Elephas maximus indicus: one gene and its partner. The protein of the gene in region 2 interacts with the protein of the main gene of each other region in a biochemical or structural test. Links are inferred from orthologs where the notes say so. Each region holds a gene or a part of one and is shown on either strand. Other genes may lie near its edges.

Region 1 (10,983 bases), on a different chromosome or scaffold from region 2:
ATACCTTTAAAAAATATAAGTCAGCATTCTCCAATTTCTTTTTGTTTGTTGGAGGGAAGGGGAGTGATGCAGTCCACTTAATATACATTAAGAGCCAAAATACACTAATGGCTTTTTGAATCATCACCCTGGCAAAGGTTTCTGAAGACCCTTAAGACCCGTATCTTCCTTAGTATTACTACTCATGGGAATCTGGGACAATGAGAGACTGATGGCAGGGTAGGAATAGGATATCATTCATCTTTACATCCTTAGCAGTATCTAGTACAGTGCCAACTATGAAACTGCTGGATGGCAGAAGGAAACGATATATCACTTTTAGAAAGAATGATAATAAAATCCTACCTGATTATGATAAGCTGTAAATTGTCTCTTTGGGGAAAAAAATCTGTGTATTACTTAGGCAATATATCATTCTCATTATTATTGTAAATTCTCTGCAATCACTCAGATGCCATGATCCCAAAGCTATCTCATACCCACTTTTCAAAACAGACTGTGGTTTAAACCTTAGAGTAAAGTTACTCAAAGTGTGGTCCATGGACTTGTGCCAGAATTGCCTTTAAAAGTCAGGTATGAGTTAAGTAAGGAAATTCAAAGAAAGCTTCAAGAAGTTTCATAACACGCCCAAGACTATGGCCCTAAGGCACCCCTCTGACTTGTAACTGCAGCCAATGCAGGAAACCACCTACCAGCCAAGCAACAGACAGGCCTATAAAATAAACAATAACGCCTGAAAAGAACATGCTCCGTAGAACAAACAATTATCCGAGACCAAAAGGGCAACATTTGCCCAAAAGTAAAGGTGAAAAGGCAGGGGTAGGAAAACCAGACAAGAGGAAATAGGGAACCAACGGCGGAAATGGGGAGAGTGCTGACACAGTGTGGGGACTGCAAACCAATGTCATGGAACACACTGATATAAGTTGTTGAATGGGAAACTAATTTGCTCTGTAAACTTTCACCTAAAACACAATAAAATATTAAAAAAAAAAAAAAAAAACTTTCACAGCAACTTAGCAGAGTAATTTATGTCCATTGGATCTAATAAAAATTTTAACTTTTATGTCTTTTTTTTCATTTCATTTTTCTAGAGATCCATTTTTATTGTATTTTACAAAAGTATCAGTGTGCAAAGGACTACAGGTTAAAAAAAAAAAAAAAAGTCCATCATAGATAGCTTGGAGCAACTTAACTGCTGAGGAAGCCAACTCTCAGAGACCTTTTCAAGCTTTCACTACTTTCAGTTACTGTTCTCATAAATGTGAAAAAAAAAAAAGTAGAAAGAGATTAAAAAATGCAGGAAGAAAATAATACCACCTAAAATATTCTCATTTTCACTTTGGTTTTACAAATGGCACCATGATGTAAAGATTAAATGTAATGTAACAGGCTTTCAGCTTTATATTCTTATCAGTACCACTACAAGTTTTTAAAATTGTAATTTATCGTGGCACATTTCACTTAAGGTTCTAACCCAACTGGTTCTCAATAATTTCAAGGTGCACCTGAAACCATTAAATATTATTTACACAGAAGTGGAAAACCTTAGCTAACAGATTTGCCTAAGGCCAAAGAATTTCCAGTGTACAGCTTGCAACTCTGGATTCTCCAGGATTCTCCATGTCACTTTGTCCCATAATGCAAGAGACATGTTAGAACTCATTCACAAATAAATGTTCACAGAAAACAGCAAAGAGATAAAAGGAATACTTTTTAAAACTTAGAACTCTGTCCATGGATCTGAAATCTTCTTTCTTAAAACTCAAAATAAGTAAACTATTTGGGGGGGGGGGGAACTAAGTTATAGTATTTCATAGATAAACTGGCAGTAACATGCTTTGACTTTATCTTCCATTTTACGGAATTGCCTCAGAATGCTTAATTTGCTTTGACAAGGTACAACAAGGTGACATGTGAACATGTGAAATGTACTGATGCAAAGTCTAGCTCATTAAACTTATTACTAAAAATTCAAGCTTCAACATGTTAGAATCATATCATTTTAAAAATTACATTATTATTTTACTTACGCATTGCATAGGGTTGCCATGAGTCGGAATCGACTCGATAGCACTTTATATATATATATCCTACAGTCCTAAAAAACCAGCGCTGACACAAAAGTGTAAAAAATGTCCCATCTACATGATTTCCCAACCTAATTTTCCAAAGTTAGTCTGTAAAACTATACCTTAAGCACCTAAACTATACACACCCTAAACATTTCCTTAAAAAATTTTTAACCACTCAAAACAAAAATTCTTTAAAATAGTTAGGCAAAATGAGGTTCAAATGAAATTATAAACGTTTAAAAGCTACTCCTCAAACCAGGGAGAATTCTTGGGCAAAAATGTGGGCCTTTATCCACTCAACAATAGCAATGATACAAGTTTAAAAAAAAAAAAGGTAAATTTATAGACTGTAACAGTCAATACATGATACTTTAAAATTAATAAATGACCCTCAGTACACAAGGAAAAATGCTTTCACTGTAACTTTCTGATTCATACATTACACAGAATTTAGCATATTCCAAAGTTGAACTATTTAGCACACTGCTTGCTACAGCTGCACTTTTATTCCATCATGTCAATCAGAAATCTAAATATATCCTAGAATAGAATAAACTCTCCCCAAGAAGACAGTTGTAATGTGTTATTAGATTTTGGGAACGATCCCCACTTCTCTGGTGTAAACAAATGTTTTAGCATATCCTACTGAAATCTTCTGCAATTTTCATTAGAAAGGCAATGTTGATAAAAGGTCCTTTTTTCTCTTCAATGAGTTGTAAAAGGAAATTATAGCTATCTGTGTGGGATTCTCTTGTGAAAGACTACATGATAGCAATCACACATACAATGTAAAATTAAAAACAGACAAAAATAGACACCTTGCCTTTCATTTTACTTGCTAGAACATTCAGCACACCAAAAAGGCAGAAAAAAAATTAAAATACTAGCTTTAAGAATCCCTATGTATTGAAATAGCAGAGTATGCTTTAAATCTACATTCAGCAGGTCAGTTAAGGATCAAAAATGAATCTTTTAGTTCCTTTGTCAATATTGACAGTAAAATACTGGATACGGTGAATATGAGCAGATGTGTTCTCTGCTTCAGTAGAACAGGAAGTCACCTTTGAAAAAGTTAAATTATAAAACTGAAATGCCAGACAACCATCTGCTTACCAAAATGATTAAATTAACCACTTAAAACTTTTCTTTTCCTGACTTCAAAAGCAATCAAGAGACTGTTAAGATTTTAAGGCAAGTTTTCACCTCAATTTGAATGCAACTTTCTGGGTAACAGTACATGTGAAAATCACAAAAAGTGTTTCCCAAAGCATGATGACTAGTAAATACGCCTCTCATCCCTGAAACCATCAGAATATGGTCCCCCAAATCCCTATTACTGGACTAAATGCTTTCCAAAACGAGAGGGGAAAAAAACTTAAATTTTCCAAAAGTGCTATTCAGTAAAAGACGAAATGTATACATCTAAATGGGAATGACAGCAGGAAAGTACAGGGAAATGTTTCATGAAAAAAACTGCTCACAATCTTCCAATCCAAGCTTTTAGTTGCATTCAAATTTATTTCCACACAACAAAGCAGGAACATTCACTCTTTCCTTACATAATAGAACTGAAACTCTTGGAAACTTGATGAACAACCATCAAACTATTTTAAACGAAAAATAAAAAGAAGTGGCCTTTACTAAACACCAATAACCTTTCCCAAGCTGAATACATTCTTGTTAAGAATTTTTTTATTCATGTGTTCAGAATATTGACCCTTTCCTCTACATTACTGAATAGGTGGAGCGGGAGAACGGGTGCTGTTTCCACTCCTGCTTGAAGTTCCTCTGTCTGAATTTTAACTTTCCAAGGGAGAACTTCTGGCTTCCTTTCTCAAATGTCATTATCTGGGTTCAACTTAGGGCAGGCAATTCTTGTTGCTTCGGCTGTAAATCGAGACCATTACCAAGAACTGATCTTTTGGGGCTGTGAGGTGACCTAAATGCTTGCAATCCTTAGTTGCATCGGCCGGATGCCAAGTACCACAAGAACACACAACGGGATTTTCCTAAGGAAAAAGCTGCCTCCTTGCCCGTGTGGCTTCTTCACTCAACAGTACTTACCAAGGAAGAGGAATGAAGGTTTTGACACAAACGGGTCACGCGACTAGCAGACTGTCCCCCGGCCCCTCTTTTAATCCAAACGCCACACGTACCACTTACCTTGTATGACATGCTCTGGTGAGATGGTCTTCTTTTCCGATTTGTTGCAAATCTCATTGGCTTCAGAAGATATAAGGTGAATGAATTCAGTGCAGCAGTTCACCACCAGCTCCCGGGCATCGTTGGCCACCCGGACATTGGGAAGAGTCTCTTTGATCATCTTATTGATAGCAGCTCTGGGTATAGTGAGATCATCATCGTTGCCAGATGAGGAAGCCATCGTACATTCCTATCTCTCGCACCCGACTTTTAAAAACTCCCCAGTTCTGGTCCACTACTCCACGGAGATTTCTGAAAAGGCCCCCTTCGGAGAGTGACCCTGAGGGGCGCTCTGAGAAGAGGGTGCAGAAAATAAGGGGGGAGGAGCTGGCTCGGCCAGGCGGGGAACACCCGAGTGTGTGAGATTTAGGGCGAGGCTGGTAGGAAAGTCGAAGGGCTGAGTGTTCTGGGGACAGCACTGCCGGGCCGAGGAAGGGTAAGCTTGGCGTGATCCGGAAATTTGAGGTGCTGGGCAACCACCTTCGTGTCTCCTCAGCGGGGCAGGAGCTGTCGCCTAACCGGACCCCAACGACGCCGGAGCAGAGGCAAAATCCAGGGGCACTGGCCTCCCCGAGGCACCGGACGTACACCCAGCGAGCTCGGCTCTACAGAGCCTGAGCCGCCGCCACCCCCGCCAGGAGCCGTTGCCGCCGCCTCGGCCAAACCATCCTTCAGATACCCGTGCCACCGCCTCACAACATGTCGGCCTCGGCCGCTGCTGGAATTGCGGGGGCCGCCTGGGAACGAATACAAACAGGGTAAAGCACAGGGAAAGCCGCAGTGGCAGCCCCGTGGCCGTTTATCCCGAACGCAGATCGTAGAAGCCGCAGCGGCTCCAACCGCGGCCCCTCCAGAAGCCTGAGAAGAAGGTTTGCCGGGAGCAGCTCCCGACACCCTTTGCGCCACCGGAAGCCTCGGCTCTAACCAGTTTCCCCCACCCTACCAGACCGACTTCCGGGTGTGGCTGCCACCCTTCCCCCACCCGCCCCGGCGGGAAGCACGGGGTCTCTCAGTAGCTTCCGCCTGTCCCGGGTCCGGCGTGCGGCCCAGCATCCCGCGCCTTCACTGGGGCCGTCGCCGAGCAAGCGCGCGCCTCACGGTACCGGGGAACCCTGGGAGCGCGCTTGCTCCAGGGCTGGGACCGCAGACGGTGGGTAGGGCGGGTGGATGTGAGAGAAGAGTTCAGTTCCTTCGTCTCTACTCTCCCACCACCAGCGGAGGCCTCGAAACCCTCCCCCAGCCGTTTTGGGGGACAAAGGAGCCCCGGATTTCCTTAAAAAGAACTCTCTGCTTTTCCTTAAGGAGACCAAATTGGTCTTGAAAGAGGAGACTACCCGAGCTTGGACTCGGGGCTGAGGATGTGGGGAAGGCAGAACCCCGTATGCCTGGTGTCTGCATCGTCCGGAAAGAAAGCTTTTGAAGATTTCTAATGGACGTTATTTGGATCACAGCTCACTATGGTCCTCCACCCATTTTCTCGTTTTTTATGGGAAAGGAGATACTCAGAAATAACTTGCCCAGTCACTACTGGAGGCTAAGCGAGAAACTAGAAGTCAGATCCATCGTAGTGGAAACGCCTAGCGTACAATGAGCCACATTACGAGATTTTAACGTAGCCATTTTTCACGTCGGATTGCACGTTTGCTTTTGGAGATGAAAAAAAAAAGTACTGTAGAGCATCTTAACACAACTCTGATTTTTGCCCCTCCAAGGTGACCCGTAATAGAAACTGGTGTCAAATTCTTCACAAAAATTGCATTATTTAAAAAATTGTGTCATACTGTCGTTTGGAAGAAGAGGCTACATTATAAATTATTGGGTGTAGAGATTTCTAAAAAATAAAGATACCATTTAAATCAGTTTTGGCACTTTAGTTCATCAGATACATTGGAAGGCAACTGACTTGTTTAAAATGTTTTTTTAAAAAGGTTTTATTTTGGTCTAAAAGCACATCCTAGGTGTGTGGCATCTGGAGGTGTTTTTCAGTTTATTACACTGTGTTTTCTCATTCAACATTTTCTCCAAGACATGTGCCGGGATCTTTGATTTCTAAAGTGTGGACGCTTGATTTTCAGTGCTAGTAAGTTTAGTCCAGACAAAAAAATTACTTAATAAAACAATATTTTAAATTTTTCTTCAAAATAGGAATGTGGAACTGTTGGCTCAGGTGTAACATCTTCATGAAGTGGTTTTGTCAGTCAGTTTACTGTTAGTTCAGAGAGAAAATTTAATTAAATACAAATAGCAGTGTGATATGTAATGAATATGCTAACCTGGATTCCATATTTAAATATTTATTTATAGTATAATATAGCCCTATTATAAATAGGAGCCCTGGAGGCACAGTGGTTAAGAGCTGGGCTGTTAACCAAAAGGTAAGCAGTTCAAATCCACCAGCTGCTCTTTGGAAATGCTATGGGGCAGTTCTATTCTGTCCTATAGGGTTGCTATGAGTCAGAATCCACTGGAAGGCAACGGATTTGGTTTTTTTGGTATTATAAATAGGCTTTTGGGAACAAGGATAACATCTTAATAAGCTTTATGAATCTTAAAGTACATATATCAGACATTTTTTCATGGTATCCAAAAATTCATGATATGACAGAAAACAATAGTACTGTGAGTTATTTTTTTATGATTATTTAGGCTTAACTGCTATAGTAATTATCTTAAAATATGTTAATTTATAGATACCCAGGTCTTCAGCTAAAATTACTAACAATAATACATAACATTCATAATTTGAAGCTTGACATTTCTGTTGCTAACATACAAATTGCCACTTGGTAACAATTCAAATTTCTTAAAATCTATCCTCTACTTCTTTTATGCTCGGCACTGTGCTAAATGCTTTTACCTGTATTATCTCATTTGATCCTCACAGTAACCATGTTTGTTAGATACTGTTTTAATCCCCATTTTACAGATAAAGAAATTGAAGTTTGGAAAGGCTAAATAACTTACCCAAGGTCAGTGTAGTAGCCAGGATAGGCTAGATTATGTTGCAAGAATAAATAACTCCCACACCTCAAAAGCTTTATTTCTTGCTCGTGCTCTGGGTTCATCAAGGGTCATCAAGAGGGCTTCCTTCATAGTCTCTCAGGGATCCATTGGAACAGTTGGGAAGAAAGAGGCTTGAAATACAGGCTTTTGAAAGATGGAGAGAAAGGAAGAAAGTATTTGTATTCAAAGTAACAACACAAAGTTGTGAAGACAAATTATTCTGGGAACAGTGAGAAGACTACCCTCCTTGCAGGAGTGAGAGAGAAAGGAGAACGCCAAAGACATAAGGCAGAAGGGATTAGAATAGCGTTACTGACAAAAACAGCAAAACTGAAAGGGAGCAGTTTAAAGAAGATGTGCTTACTTTTGCACATGTCTGGGTTTGAGGCATTTAAGGAAGTGATGTCGGGTAGGCAGAGGAAAGAGAAGACAAGCAGCATCTGATTCCTGCATTCACTCAACAACTGAGAGTCTACTGTCCTAAGTATGATGTGGGAGAAATAAATCTGAATAAACCACTCTTCTTGTTTTCAAGGAGCCCACAATCTGGTGGGAGAGGCAGAATATAAACCAGATGGAAATAAAATGCTGTGATAAAGACAGAAGATGGTGTGTACAGAGGAAGGAGTGATTGACACACCAATTGTGATATACACAGGGCTTTATGGAGGGCCCAACATTTCTCTGAGTCATGAAGACTAAGTAGAATTTTAATAAAGAAGAAACACAAAGTGCATTGTATGGCTTGGGAAAATCAAGTAGCCTAGAGTGGCTCTTTTTGGGGGGTTTATGAATTAGTGTAGTGGGATATGATGCTGGAAAAGTAAATCAGCTAAAAAAAAAAGCTAACAAAACAAATCAGTGCCTGTTATGAATGATACACTGTACGGGAAGTTTTCATAGGCATTGTTTCATTTAATTCTGATACAGCCCTACATACTAGGTGTTCTGACAGATGCAAAAACAGATTTCGAGGTGTCAGTAGAAGGAGGAGGGAATTTCATACAGCAGAGCAGCAAAAGCTCAGTGAGACAGAACATCGTGGTATTCTTGGTGAGCCGCAATATTTTGGTAGAGGATGTAGGGTAAGGAGCATACGAAGAAGTAGCATGAGAGAAAGCTATTCTGGTAAGTATAATAGTTAAGATTATTTTGGTTGCTAGTTAAATTGACTTTACTGGATACTGGGGTATCTCACAGAAACTTAGAAATTACTGAACAACCAGGGAAATTCTGTAGAACTCGGTAGTAGGAATCCATAAACTGTCTTCCTGATGGGATGTAAACAACTTTCCATCTCTCTGCCTCTTTGATCAAAATTCCAGTTTCCTAGTGCAGTAAGTGTTTGGCCAACCTGGATCATATTTCCACTCCTGTGTTATTCAGCATGACCAGGCTGCAAACTATGTGTGTGGATGTTTGCTGTTGTTCCATCCCTTTGATGGGAAGGGAGTTGTCACTGTGAACTGTGCAGCTGGCCTAAGAGGTGTTTCTTGTGTTCTATTCTTAGGTTGCTGAAGCCACATACCCTTTTCCCCCTATGTACAATGATAAAAATGCCTCCAACCAACATGACCCTGCCATCCCAGTACAACAGTTCTGCATCTGCACCCTTACCCAGCCTAAAGATGCATCCAACTGGTGGAAAGAATGTCTTAATGTTACTTTTCTCCTAGTCCTGACCTCTGGATATCAAGTATCCATTCCTCTTCTAGTTCTGGCATAGTCTCATTTAGGTGTGGCTCCTCCTGGTCCTCAATCCATGGACTAAATTATGATTACTATCATCACACTCTACAAATAATTTCACTGGGAGTGGGGACAGCAGTGATTGTTCTCATTTTAAAAGGGAAACAAACAAAACCTCGTTGCCATCGAGTTAATTCTGACTCATAGCAACCGTATGGGACAGAATAGAACTGCCCCACAGGGTTTCCAAGATGTGGCTAGTGGATTCAAACTGCTGACAACTTGGTTAGCAGCTGAGCTCTTAACCACCATGCCACCAGGGTTCCTTAAAAGGGAAAGGTAAGGCTAATTTTTCAGTCTTCAGGCATTCCAGCAAAATGTGCAGACCACTTTTTCCTATTCTGGTTCCTGAGGCTATAGCTGGTATACATGACTACCTATGCCGGGTTTCCTTGGTTACAATCTGGCTGGCTGTGGTTCCTTGCCTAGTAGGGTGATTTAAGCCTTCATTTTTGAGAGGTCTAAGCCCTTGGTGATGAGCAGCATCAAACATGTCAAATTAAACAAAGGCAATGCAGCAGATTGGAGGACGACTCTGAGGTAGAATGACTGGGGACCAAGAAATATTTGTGAATAAATGGTTCCTATTTTACAGATGATAAAACTCAAGCACAAAGAGCCTAGGTAACTAAAGTGAAAGAACCAGGGTTTAAACCCAAGGTGTCTGGCTCCAAAGGAACTCTTCTTCATAGCTATGTTATGCTGCCCCAGCGCTGCCAATGTGGAGATTGAGTTCGGTGCTGGGCCTTCCATACCCGTTGCCAATTGAGTTGATTCCAAATTATGTTAACCACATGTGTGTCAGAGTAAAACTGTGCTCCATAGGATTTTCAGTGGCTGATTTTTAAGAAATAGATCTCCAGACCTTTCTTTTGAGGCGCTTCTGTGTGGACTCAAACCTCCAGCTATTCAGCTAGCAGCTGAGCAAATTAAATGTTTCCACTACCAATGGACTCCATCTGCATGGGATTAAATCATATCATGGCTCTTCAATTTTAGTCTTGTTTCGTGAGCAAGAATAGGTTACTTAATTTTTTTTTAAGTCTCGGTCTTTTAATCTATAAAATGGAGGCACCCTTTAAATGTGTGGCGTTTCATAAGTGAATTTATAAAATGGCTATTTGCCTTAGGCTGGGTTCTCTAGAGAAGCAAAACCAGTAAAGGTATAAATATATATATATATTATATATATATATATATACATATATATATATATAGAAAGAGATCGCATTGGGTAAATCTGCTGCAAAGGACCTCTTTAAAGCATTGAAGAGCAAAGATGTCACCTTGAAGACTAAGGTGCACCTGCCCCAAGCCATGGTATTTTCAAAAACATCATATACATGTGAAAGCTGGACAATGAATAAGGAAGACCGAAGAAGAATTGACGCCTTTGAATTGTGGTATTGGCGAAGAATATTGAATATACCATTGACTGCCAAAAGAATGAACAAATCTGTCTTAGAAGAAGTACAACCAGAATGCTCCTTAGAAGCAAGGTTGGCGAGACTGCGTCTTACATACCTTGGATATGTTGTCAGGAGGGATCAGTCTCTGGAGAAGGACATCATGCTTGGCAAAGTACAGGGTCAGTGGAAAAGAGGAAGACCCTCAAGGAGGTGGGCTGACACAGTGGCTGCAACGATGAGCTGAAGCATAACAACGATTGTAAGGATGGTGCAGGACCGGGCAGTGTTTCGTTCTGTTGTGCATAGGGTCACTATAAGTCGGAACTGACCCAACGGCACCTAACAACAACAACAACAACAACAGAAAGAGATTTATGTCAAGGAAGCAGCTCATGTGGTTGTAGAATCTGGAACGTTCCAAGTCAGTGGATCAGGATAGAAATTTCTCCTGATTCACGTAGCCGCAGGGGCTGGTGAACCCAAGATTGGTAGGTTGGAGAGCAGAGCTCTTGCTCACAGACTGTGAAGACTGATGAATCCCAAGA
Region 2 (11,487 bases):
GGGAATGGCGTAGAGAGGAATGGTTCCCCAAAACAAAATAGCGGTGCTATTACCAGAGGGGGAGTGGATGAGAGGCAGACAGAAGCAACATACGCCCCCAGTCTTCAGCACCCCTGGCCAGTCCACCACCCACTCTATGCTTGCAGTACGGTTTTAACTCATTTCTCCCTCTTTGCCTCCCTGAAGCTGGGGGCGACGTTGCCTACTTCACAGAGAAGTCAGATGCCAGCAGATAAAAACTGAACACTCATGCCTCCCACCAAAATCCAGGCTCTCTGCCCTCACCCTGGTGGGGTTGGGGTCTTCCCAGGCCCCCACCCACCTCAATCCATCAGTTATCCCCCCTCCTATCCCTTCAGCCCTCCTCTAAAAGCTTGAGTTTCTGCCATTTTAAAAAAAAAAAAAACTGCTTCTTCATCTTTTTCACCCCAAGCCACTGCTCTCTCAACTCACTTTTAAGTGTTGCTTCCGCTCACCTCTGAGTTTCTCACCTCCCACTCCTTCTGTCTCATCAACAAGTCAACCACCACCAACCCACTGAAGCAGCTCCTGCGATGCTTCCCCTAAAGCCAAAGGACACCTCACAGGTGCCACCTTCCTCATCCAAGGCATTGACAGCTGACCTCTTCTTCCTTCCATACACACCTGGGTGACAACACCCGTGGCTCCTGGTGGCCCTGGAATCTGGCCACTTTTCAGTCTCCTTTGGTGTCTGTCCCAGTCCCTCTCCTCTCTACTTTGTCATGGTTCACACACCTGTCTCCCACGTCCACCGCCCACTTGACAGCACCCCTTTTAGCAGTCTCAAGGTGTGATGGTTAATTTTCTGTGTCAACTTGGCTAGGTTATGGTTCCCAGTGGTTTGGCCAAACTAGACTAGCTGCTGTTCCTCCAATGCAATCTAACGTAGTTATCATTTTCCATAATCTAGTTTAATGCAATCAGTTGAAAAGGGAGTTTCCTCAGCGTGTGTTCTGCCTTTAGACTATGTTGTTGTTGTTGTTAGGTGCCACTGGGTCAGTTCCGACTCATAGTGGCCCTATGTACAACACAACGAAACGTTGCCCGGTCCTGTGCCATGATCACAATCGTGATACTTAAGTCCATTGTTGCAGCCACTGTGTCAATCCATCTCGTTGAGGGTCTTCCTCTTTTCCACGGACCTCTACTTTACTAAGCATGATGCCCTCTCCAGGGACTGATTCCTTCTGACAACATGCCAAAGTATGTAAGATGCAGTCTCGCCATCCTTGCTTCTGAAGAGCATTCTGGTTGTTCTTCCAAGATAGGTTTGTTCCTACTTTGGGCAGTCTATGGTATACACAACATTCTTCACCAACACAATTCAAAGGCGTCAATTCTTTTTCGGTTTTCCTTTTTTTTTTTTTATTCATTGTCTAGCTTTTGCACGCAGATGATGCGATTGAAAATACCATGGCTTGGGTCAGGCGCACCTTAGTCTTCAAGGTAACATCTTTGCTTTTCAACTCTTTAAAGAGATCCTTTGCAACAGCAACGACTTTAGACTGTAAGTATTTTAGGTATTTGGGCAGAATGCACTCTCCACTCTGCCCTCTGTCGTCTGATCTACAGATCTTGAGATTAAAGCCTGCATTAGTCTCCAGCCTTTCACCTGACCCACGAATTTTGTACTTGTCAGTCCACCACAATCCTGTGCACCAAATCCTTGAAGTAAAGCCGTGTATATATACAGAATAAGATCTGGTGGTGAAAAAGGTTAAGCACTCAGCTACTAACTGAAAGGTTGGTGGTTTGAACCCACCCAGCGACTCCGTGGGAGAAAGACCTGGCAATTTGGTTTCTTAAAAAATATAACCAAGAAAACCCTACGGGGCAGTTTTACTGTCATGGGGTCACTGAGTCAGAGTCAAGTCAATGACAGCTAACAACGTGCATATATATGCATACATGTATAGCTCACTGGTTCTGTTCCTCGGGAGACTCTTAAGATACATAAGCACTCCAATTAATCACAGACACACTTGTGATCCCGAGGCCACATCGTCCTCTTCCTCCTGTGGCCCCCAGCTGGAAAAAGACCCCACCCCCACTGAAGTTGCTAAAGAAAGAAACCTGGGGGTTGTCCTTGATAACTCCCTCCCTCTTGGCCCCATGTCCGGCCATTGACAGTGGTCTTCACGGAGGCCCTGTCTGTCCACTGCCCTTCGGACCCCTGCCCCACCTGACCCAGGCTGCTATGGCCCTTGATACCCTCCTGCAGGGTTCCCTGCTCCTTGATGCCTCCACAAGGAAGTCATTGACTTGTTAAAACCAGATATAATCACAGCCTCCCTGGTCAGAAATGCCTGTTGAATGACCAACTGTGTCACTGCCCAGCTCGAAAACCGGCACGAAGCCCTTCATGATGATGCCTACCGTGCCGCTGCTCCTTCCCACACCCTCTATCACACCAGGCGCAAGTGGGTCTTCAAAGCCCATTCCCATTACTTATCCCGCCTAGCCCTCCCCAGCAGCCCAAGGTGGGTGGAGTGGGCTCCACGCAAGAGATGAGATTGCTAAGAAAAGGGCAGGAGCCTGCCCCGTGCCCCCCAGCATACCCAGCACCTGCTGGCTCAGCCCCCAGGCCGCTCCACCCGCCTTCCTTTCATCAACATCTTTAGGCCTGCCCCAGGCAGAACCTTAGACTCTGGCCTCTCCAGTGGACCTCTCCCTTCCCTTCACTCAGCCACTGCCCAGCCCACCACTGCCCCTGGGCCCAGCTCAGTGGGGGGAAGGCAGGTGAATGGGAAAGTGGCCACAGAGCCCCAGACAGAGACTGGAACAAACACCGATGTTCCCTTTTATTTTTTTAATAAATTTAAGAACAGCTTTCTTTTCTCCCCCCCCCCCAGAACAACTAAAACCAACTAAAAGGGGGTGTAGCCTGGGGGGCAGGGGGCGCTAGGAGTCATAATCCTCTTCATCCTCTGCATCTGGTCCTGATGGGCCCGGGGGTGCTAGGGGCAGAAGCACAGTCGAGGTGAAGGGCATGAAGGGTGTCGGGGGGCTGTGAGGCAGAAAGCAAGAAAGGCTGATCAGACCACGCTCTGGGCCCATTCCTGCCTGTGGAGCCCCACCCCACCCTCTACAGAGGCAGGCAAGGAGCCCATTACCCTTTGTGCCCACAGGAAGCCATGCCCCAGAGAAGAGAAAGGCCCAACGAAGGTCAAAGAGCTTTGTCAAAGCTCTGTCCACTGTCCCCACCTGGGGGGAAAAGGGGCCTTCTGAGAGCACAACTCAGTTCCTCCCAGTTCCCCCCAAATCTGCTACAATCCACAGAACCAGTGTCCGTAGAGGACAAGAAGGACAGGCCGGCCTTGGCAAGTGGGCTGGTCCTCCTGGCTCGGCTAAGCTGCTTACCTTTGAAAGTGGGGAGGGGGATGGCTGGCCTGGGGTGGGGGCTGTGGTGTCTCCTCTTCCCCCTCTGTGTCCGTGTCCTCAGACTCATCCTGTAACGGAAATGGGTCAGAGTAACAAGAAAAGGGATGTCTAGACCTATCACTGGGGACCCCAGAGCTCTGGGAGTGGTGGGACAGGACACAGATCCCAACAGATCCAATTTACAAACAAAGAAACTAAGGTGTAATATGGTTTCTGGTAAGGATGGGTACCAGCCTCCAGCCAGCTCAGCCTGATGCTGAGGCTTCCAGGTGCCACCCTCTCCATCACAGCTGGGCCAGACAGAGCTGGGCCTCCTCACCTCCTGCTCTGAGTCCGTCCCTGACAGCTTCTTGTCCTTGCCTTTGCTGCCCATGCCACCGTTCTTCCGGCTGCTGGTGCCTGGCTTCCGGCCCCTTTGGGAAAGTACAGTCCATGTGCCCAGGGGTCTCCCCTCTCCTGAAGCACCCCCAATCACCACCTACCCCTGTGGCCTTGGCCTTCCCTGCCTGGACACCTGGCCCCCCACCTGCGGGCACCCTTGTCTCCATCCATGTGGTTGTCTTCCCCGTCCCCCTGCATGTCAGGCACGGAGGCCACCAGGTCCTTCAGAAAGTCAAACTGCTGCTCCAGTTCAATGCACTGCTTCCTGGAAGAGAGGGAAAACAGCACTCAGACAGGGTACTCGGGTAGGGCCCAGCGAAGTGGCCAGGATGTCAGGGAAGGGGGAACTATAAGAGCTCCCTCCCCGTCTCCACCACCAAACCTGTGCTCTCTGCTCAGGTTATTTCCCCAGCCTGGAACACCCAGGCCTTGCTTCACGGGTCCAATCCCACTGTCTCCAAGCCGTCTCCCACCACCCTCTTGTTTAGAGCTCCCCCGCCTAGGAGGTAGAGTACAGCCCCCTTAAGAGAGAGAACTCGTGAACTTCTCGGCCAGGACCCCTCCCAGCCCCGCGGGCCACTCACAGGTGGGACGTGGTCATAGTCTTGGCATTGCGGGACTGGGTCACCTGGCAGGCCTTCTTCAGCAGCGACTCCAGGAAGAGCTCCAGCGCCCGGGCTGAGCGGTGTTAAGGAGAAGATGGTAGGGGGATTCCCGACCTGCCCCCCTCTCCCACGCCCCCCAACCGGCCAGCCCCCGGCAGGATACAGATGATGACAGGCACAGCCGCCGCCACCTTCCCAATCTCCTCGTCAGTCTGCATGATCTTCTTGATTCGCGCCTGGGGAGAGGGGCAGAGTTCGGACCCCACCACTTCCTTCATGAAAAAGGGTACTGGGGGTACGAGAGGGAATTCCGGGAGAAATGCGCGGGAGGGGGGGGCACAGAAGGGGGAAGGGAAGGGGGCGGGGCGTCCGGGCCCCCGGACGCCCGAAGTGCCCGCCCCCCCCAGCGGGGCTCGGGCCGGGCCTCCAGGGAGCCGGGCCTGCTCCACCCCAGCCTGGCCACGTGCTCACCGGCGGGAACCGCGCGTTGTACTTCTTCTTCTTGCTCGGCATCTTGGGGCCTCTCCCGACGCGCCGGGCCCAGCGCCGCCGCCCGCAGCCTCCCGGCCCCCGGGCCTGCTCACCGCCCGCCCGTCGCGCTTCCCCCGGGTCCTGGCGCCGCCTGCTCCGCCCCCCGCCGCTGCCCACGGGGTCCTAGTGCCGCCGCTCAGGACGAAGCTCGCAGCGCACAGGGCCCTCCCCTTCACCCTCCGGGGCGGTGCGCGTCTCCTCCGGCCGTCCGGCCCGCCTCTCCCTCCGGCCCTCAAGGCCTGAAGATCGAACGTTAGCTCCGCCCCCCGGCCGGCCCGCCCCCTCTGGTTCCCGCGATGGCCCCGCCCCTTCCTGTCGGCCCCGCCCAGCCCAGCTGCCCGGCGGCCCCGCCCCGTGGCTGCGCTTGTCTATAAAGTTGTTGTTGAAGCGGCGAGCGCTAAGATGGCGGCGGCGGCGGCGGCCGTGGCGGGGGCGGGGCGCGGTGGTGGCGGCGCGGAGCCCCGGCAGGAACGGAACCGCGCCCGGGGCTGGGCCGGAGCCGAACGCAGCGACGGCCGGAGGTGACGGTGGGGCCGCGGGAGGGGTAGGGCTGGGGCGGGGGCCTTGGTCGGTCTGCGGGTGCTAATGGCGGCGGGCGCGGCGGGGCCGGCGGCTGGCCCTCCGGCAGGCTCTAACCAGCCAAGGTTCGAGTCCGGGCACCGCCCCATCGGCCTCGGTCCCGTCACTGCCTCCGTGGGCCACAGTGTCCTCGTCTTTAAGTGGGCACGACGACGCCCACCGGGAGGCCTGGTCCACAGGGCGCGCCTTGGGTGCTGCGTGAATGTGCCTCCCTCCATTAAATCCAGAGCTCCGGATCCCTGCCGGGCTGAGACCAGACGAAGAGCGCTTTGATAGGGCCAGGAGGCGTGATGGGGCCGGGAGCTTCCACCCCTGGATTCACATTTTTCTCTGCCACTCAGTACAGGTGTGACCTTGGGCAGTTCCCTTCTCTCTGAACGTCAGTCTTCTTGTCTCTAGGTCAATGAGAGTAATGACAATGGCAGTAACACTTATGTAGCGCTTACTGCACCTCAGGCATTTAATTCTCACGGCAGCTCTGTGAGACAGGGAAGGTTGTTACTCCGTTATGAAGTAACTGAGGCACAGTGATATTAAGTCTTGCCCAAGGCCACACAGTTTAGGCCAGTGCCTGGCACCTGTTAGGGCCCAGCTATCGGTAGTTATTGTCCCAGACCTGCCCTGACTCAATTCCCTCACAGCAGGATGGAGTCCGGTGAGGAGCCAGAGGAAGAGGACTCTCCAGGCGGCCGGGAGGATGGTTTTACCGCTGAGCACTTGGCTGCAGAGGCCATGGCAGCTGACATGGACCCCTGGCTGGTGTTTGATGCCCGCAGTACGCCCGCCACTGAGCTGGATGCCTGGTTGGCCAAATACCCACCATCCCAAGTTACCCGCTATGGGGACCCTGGCTCACCCAACTCAGAGCCTGTGGGCTGGATCGCAGTGTATGGGCAGGGCTACCTCCCCAATTCTGGTGATGTACAGGGTCTGCAGGCAGCTTGGGAGGCTCTGCAGACTAGCGGGCGGCCCATCACACCCAGTACCCTGCGCCAGCTGGCTATCACTCACCAGGTGCTCTCAGGCAAGTGGCTGATGCACCTGACACCTGGCTTCAAGCTGGACCATGCCTGGGCTGGCATTGCCCGAGCCGTGGTCGAAGGCCAGCTTCAGGTGGCCAAGGTGAGCCCACGGGCCAAGGAGGGTGGGCGCCAGGTCATCTGTGTTTACACAGATGACTTCACGGACCGCCTGGGTGTACTGGAGGCAGACACAGCCATCCGGGCTGCAGGCATTAAGTGCCTGCTCACCTACAAGCCTGATGTCTACACCTACCTGGGCATCTACCGAGCCAACCGCTGGCACCTCTGCCCCACTCTCTACGAGAGCCGTTTCCAGTTGGGAGGTGATGCCCGCGGCTCTCGTGTGCTTGATCGAGCCAACAATGTGGAACTGACCTAGTGGGGCCAGGCAAACAAGACCACCTTGGGATGGACCATCCATGCCAGTATGGATGTTCCCACCTTCCTCCTTGTCACCCCAAGGAGGCCAGGCCCCAGCTTTGAGGACTGGGTTAGCTCTTTTGGAAACTGCCTGCATCTTTCATTCCCTTGAATCTCTGCCCTCTGATCAGGACTAATGCCAGCCCCCACAAGTGGCGGGGCTCTGGCTTGCTGAGGGCCGGGCCCTCAGCCTCTCTTCGCTGCTGCTCCCCTCAACCTCCCAGGACCACAGGCCGGGGCCAGATGCTGGGGGAGAGCCGTCCTTGGCCACCCCCGTCACCCCACCAGGCTGCACCTTGCCTCCTCCTGCACTGTCCCTTTCCCTTCCTCCTTCACGAGGGAGAAAACTCAGTGCTTCCAGTCTTTCCCCTTGGAGCCTTCTAAGTCCACAGGGCAGGGGTCCTGCGGGCCTGAGCATGCCATTGGGGGTAGAGAAGTAGTTGTGTCACTCAGCCCCTGGCAGAGAGAGGGGACACCAGGGCCCAGGTCACCGGGCCTGCCCCTCCGTGAGATTTACAGCCTGCACCACCTTCCTCCCCTCCTCATATCTTGTCACGTGCCTGCTCCTGGCATTTCAATAAAGCCCAGCTTGGGTCTGTGTCTTGAGTGTTTTTTAAGGCTGTATTGGTGGTTACCTCCTTTGGCTGCTGAAGAGATGCAGAGCCAGGAGAGGACTGCTCCCCAGGCCTGGCCTCCTGTCTGCCCACGGTACTAAGACATGCCTCACCAAGGCCCGGCTCCTCTCAGAACCTCTGTGAAGCCAGCCCTGCTTGTCCCATCCCAAAAATCAGAATCAGTGATTTCCTATAAATGCAAGGGCTTGGCCCTTCCAGAAAGGCCCAAGGGGCCACTATTAGCCTCATTTTTAGGTGTGATATATGTGCCTGTATATGTATAGCATAATGTATTTGGGCATATTAAAGAAAGATGCCCGCTGGGAGAGGCAGCCTGGGCAGGCCTCATGGTTTGGTGAATGGAGAATGGGCTGCATTTCAGTGTCCTAGGCTGGACACACTAGTGCAGGGAACAACCTACACAACCTTCAGTGATGGTCCTGGAAGGTCTCCCATTTATACTCACCTCTCACACTGCCCTGTCAGAGGGGCCACTGGACAGTTTGCAGAGCACTTCCACATGCATCATTGAATTCTCACGTCTTTCTGAAAGAGGTATTGGCCCCATTCTGTGGTCAGGAACACTGAGGCCCAGAGGGGAAAGGGAGTTCCCCAGGATCATGTGGTGAGTTGAGCAGAGACAGCTAGAATTTGCACCCCACCCCTGCCTCCTCTGCCTCTAAGAGGAAACCTCACCCACGGTTAGCTGTTCACAACCCACAAAGCACTTTCACTCCCGTGATCTTGCTGAGCTCTTGTGCTAGGCTACTGGAGCCTCTGGAGCCTGACTCCAACCCCCCGCCCCCACCCTCGCCTGGCCCTGGCCTTGGTCGGGGGCCAGGTTATCTGGCAGGGAGCCCCTTGGGACACTGCTCTCGTGCCGTGCCGGAGCTGAGTCAGCCTCCAGCACCCTCACCAAATTGGAATTTGGAGCAGGGAAGCGGAGATGCCACTCGGCTGACTGGGTGGAAGTGGATGAGTCAAGTGATCCTGGTTCAGCTTCCTCCCCACCCGACTCCCGGGTACAAGCCTTGGGAAGTCCCTAGAACGGGTGGTCTCTGAGCTAGAGCCTGGTGCCCTGCTCCCTCTGGCCCACAGTGCCTTGGCCAAAGAGGGCCAAGGCTTGGGGGTCCTGGCCAGGCCCTCATGGGTCCTGTTAAGATGCCCATATGGCGTCAACAAGACCTGGTTCACTGAGCAGTTAGCACGCTCATCCCCTCCTCTCCCTCTAGCCCAGACTGCCTCCTGTACCCCAACCCCTCACTGCCACCCACATACACAGCTCTGTCAATTGGTCTCTCTGTAGAGGGGCCATGGCCCCCACAGCCTGCAGGACGATCTCCACCCACTGTCCAGCCTCCCTTGGGCACCCCATCTGCCTTGTGCTCAGCCCACTGGCGCCAATTGCTACTTCCTTCAGCCCCTGGCACGTAGCCCCGGGCCTCCGGCTGTGCCTTCTGCTTGAGCACCTGCCATGCACCACCATGTTGGGTATGACCGTGTGGTTACTGTGCGATTGCTGATTGATGTCTAGCGCCCCGCTGGCCCCTACGCCATGTGCCCAGACTATGTGCCCCACAGTCTGTGAGGGCAGGAATGGTGTCCACATCTCAGCCCTGTCCTTGGAGCACCCTCTCCATAAATGAATAAGTGTGCCGACGACTCCAATCTGGCCCCTGAAGACTTTTCAGCCTAGTCTCGCTTCCACTCCCTGCTTCAGCCTCTCGTCCCAGAAACATGAGCTGCCTCTGGTTTTCTCACACACACTCCGGGCTTTCTCACGTCCCTGCCTGGACACGTGCCCTTGCTCTCCATGGCCCTGCACGTGCCTGATCCTCAGGTGTCATCCTCCCAGAGGTTTCTCTTTCCTGGCCACCCTCGCCCCACCCTCACCCCAGCTGCAGAAGCACCTCCCCCAGTCCCTTTGCCTCTGGCTCTCATTTGTGTACCTGTGGTGCCTTGAGGACAGCGGCCACACTTTACCTCCCAGGGTGTCCTCGGTGTCAGGCACAGGATCTGGCCTAGCGCAGATGCCAAGAAACATTGGTTGACTGAACAGTTGAAGGCAAGTCACCCTGTTTCCGGGCCTCGGTTTCCTCATTCTAGGAAATCATAACAAAAGGTAGGCACTATGCTAAGTGTTTACCTACTTTATCTCATTTAAGCTTCACTGGGCTCTGGTGTTGTCGCCATTTGGCAGAAGAAACTAAGGCCCAGAGAGGGTTAGTAGCTGGCTCAGGGTTACAAAGCTAGTAAGTGGAAGAGACAAGATTTGAACCCAGGCTATCGCACTTAAGGGCACCTGATGCATGACCGAGCCCCCGCTACATGGATGTGCTGCTGGGGTGAGGTGGCGAGAACAAATAAGCCCCAGCAAGGACTTAGGATCCAGTTTGTACAGCACTGAGGTAACGTCCTCAGGACTCAGTGGGAGAGACGCTGGGCCCAGAAGACTCCCATTTTGCTGATTAAGAAATTGAGGCCCGGACAGTGCAGGGATTAAGCCTACCTGGGCAGGAAAGGTCTCTCAGGCCTACGGTGGGGGCTGCTTCCCTGGTGGCCCAAGGGCTCCCTGAAGCCCACCTCCTCTGCCTGGCAGGGGGCTCTACCCTGTTGGCCAGCCCCCTCCCACATGGGTGAATTGGACAAGCCCCTGTGCACTGCTCCCTTCTAAAAAGCCAGGGGAATGGCTGAGACAAGAGAAATGAGGAGATTCCCCACTCTTTCTCCTCCCTCTTACACACACTGTGAACCCCCAGACCCCAGGGGGTAGTCGCCAGAGTGGCTGGCCTGGGAGGGGGAGAATATCTGCACAACCCCTGACTCCAGCCACGTTCAGGGCTGACTCCAGAGGACAGGAAACAGCTGAGTTGGGAGAAAGCTTCTGCCAGAGCTTTGGCGGGGTTCTCAGGGATTTTCCCGGCAGGGCAGCTGCACCCAGCTCCCGCTCGCTGGGAGGGGCCCTGGCAGGGATGAGGCTTGGATCACACGGCTGATTCATCATGGCAAGAAACTCCCCACTTCTCTGACGCGCATCCCTCAGGCACTGAGAGGCAACCTGAAGACACCGGCCCCACAATCCCCCAATCCCAGTTTTCCTGGCCACTGGCCTCCTGGCAGGGCGAGGAAGACCCCCAGTCTCAGCAGAGGGACAGAGGGGAAGGCAAAGGGCAGGGCTTAGGGGGCAGCTTCCCAGGCAATAAAAACCAGAAGCTGGAACCCTCTCTGGGCACCTCAGGCATCCTCCCCTCACCCATTTTATAGATGAGGAAACCGAGGCTTAAATAATAAGAGCAAATGTGTACCCAGACCTACTCTGTGCCAGGCACGGCCTATGCACTCTATATACATTATCATTTCAGTGCTTACAACCTCCATTTTACTGATGAGGAAACTGAGGCAGAAAAGGTTAAATAACTTGATGAAGGTCAAGGCTAACCATGACCCGGCAGCCACCACATCACCCATGAGTGCTAGTACACACCCCCGCGACAAGGAGCTTTGTCCCTGCTCCCCGAGCAGCTCTGGACCCTGGGATCAGAGACCTCCCTGGAGTGGTTTGCATTGATTTCTGGGGATTTTCCACCCTTGGGCCCCAACTCTGCCCCTGGGGACTCTAGAGGACAAACAGGTCACCCACTCAGCTTCAGCTCCTCTCCCCCAGGGATAAGGAGAGAAAGCTGGCTTCTGTGGAAAAATCTGCCAAACCCTCAGAGACCAGGAGAGGACAGTGAGGCCTTGCCGCCAAAATCTTCCTCTGGGGCTTTGGCTCCATTCCAAACCTCAATCCTTTGCTCAGGAGTCAGAGCCTCCCTTTCCTGTCTGCCAACCCCCTCCCCAACACACACACACAGAGACACACACCACACACACACATACCTACACACACACACACACACACACGTGTGTGCACGCCCCAGCTGGCTCCTGCCC

What was found.
Region 1: the proteins of DRAP1 (region 2) and DR1 form a complex in vitro, tested with the Homo sapiens proteins (2 studies listed by BioGRID). The link is inferred for Elephas maximus indicus from reciprocal best matches to the Homo sapiens genes DRAP1 and DR1.

Annotation. Positions count from the first base shown.
Region 1 is NC_064821.1:148,820,055-148,831,037, forward strand, and holds the start of DR1 (protein Dr1), read right to left. Parts: upstream 5,185-10,983; 5' UTR 4,459-5,184; coding exon 4,239-4,458; intron 1-4,238. UniProt on the Homo sapiens protein: The association of the DR1/DRAP1 heterodimer with TBP results in a functional repression of both activated and basal transcription of class II genes.
Region 2 is NC_064825.1:129,056,198-129,067,684, reverse strand, and holds DRAP1 (dr1-associated corepressor), read right to left. Parts: upstream 5,025-11,487; 5' UTR 4,902-5,024; coding exon 4,860-4,901; intron 4,625-4,859; coding exon 4,552-4,624; intron 4,462-4,551; coding exon 4,368-4,461; intron 4,049-4,367; coding exon 3,929-4,048; intron 3,816-3,928; coding exon 3,722-3,815; intron 3,471-3,721; coding exon 3,382-3,470; intron 3,029-3,381; coding exon 2,923-3,028; 3' UTR 2,786-2,922; downstream 1-2,785. Other genes in the region: C7H11orf68 (UPF0696 protein C11orf68 homolog), read left to right, coding at 5,322-5,440, 6,140-6,899. UniProt on the Homo sapiens protein: The association of the DR1/DRAP1 heterodimer with TBP results in a functional repression of both activated and basal transcription of class II genes.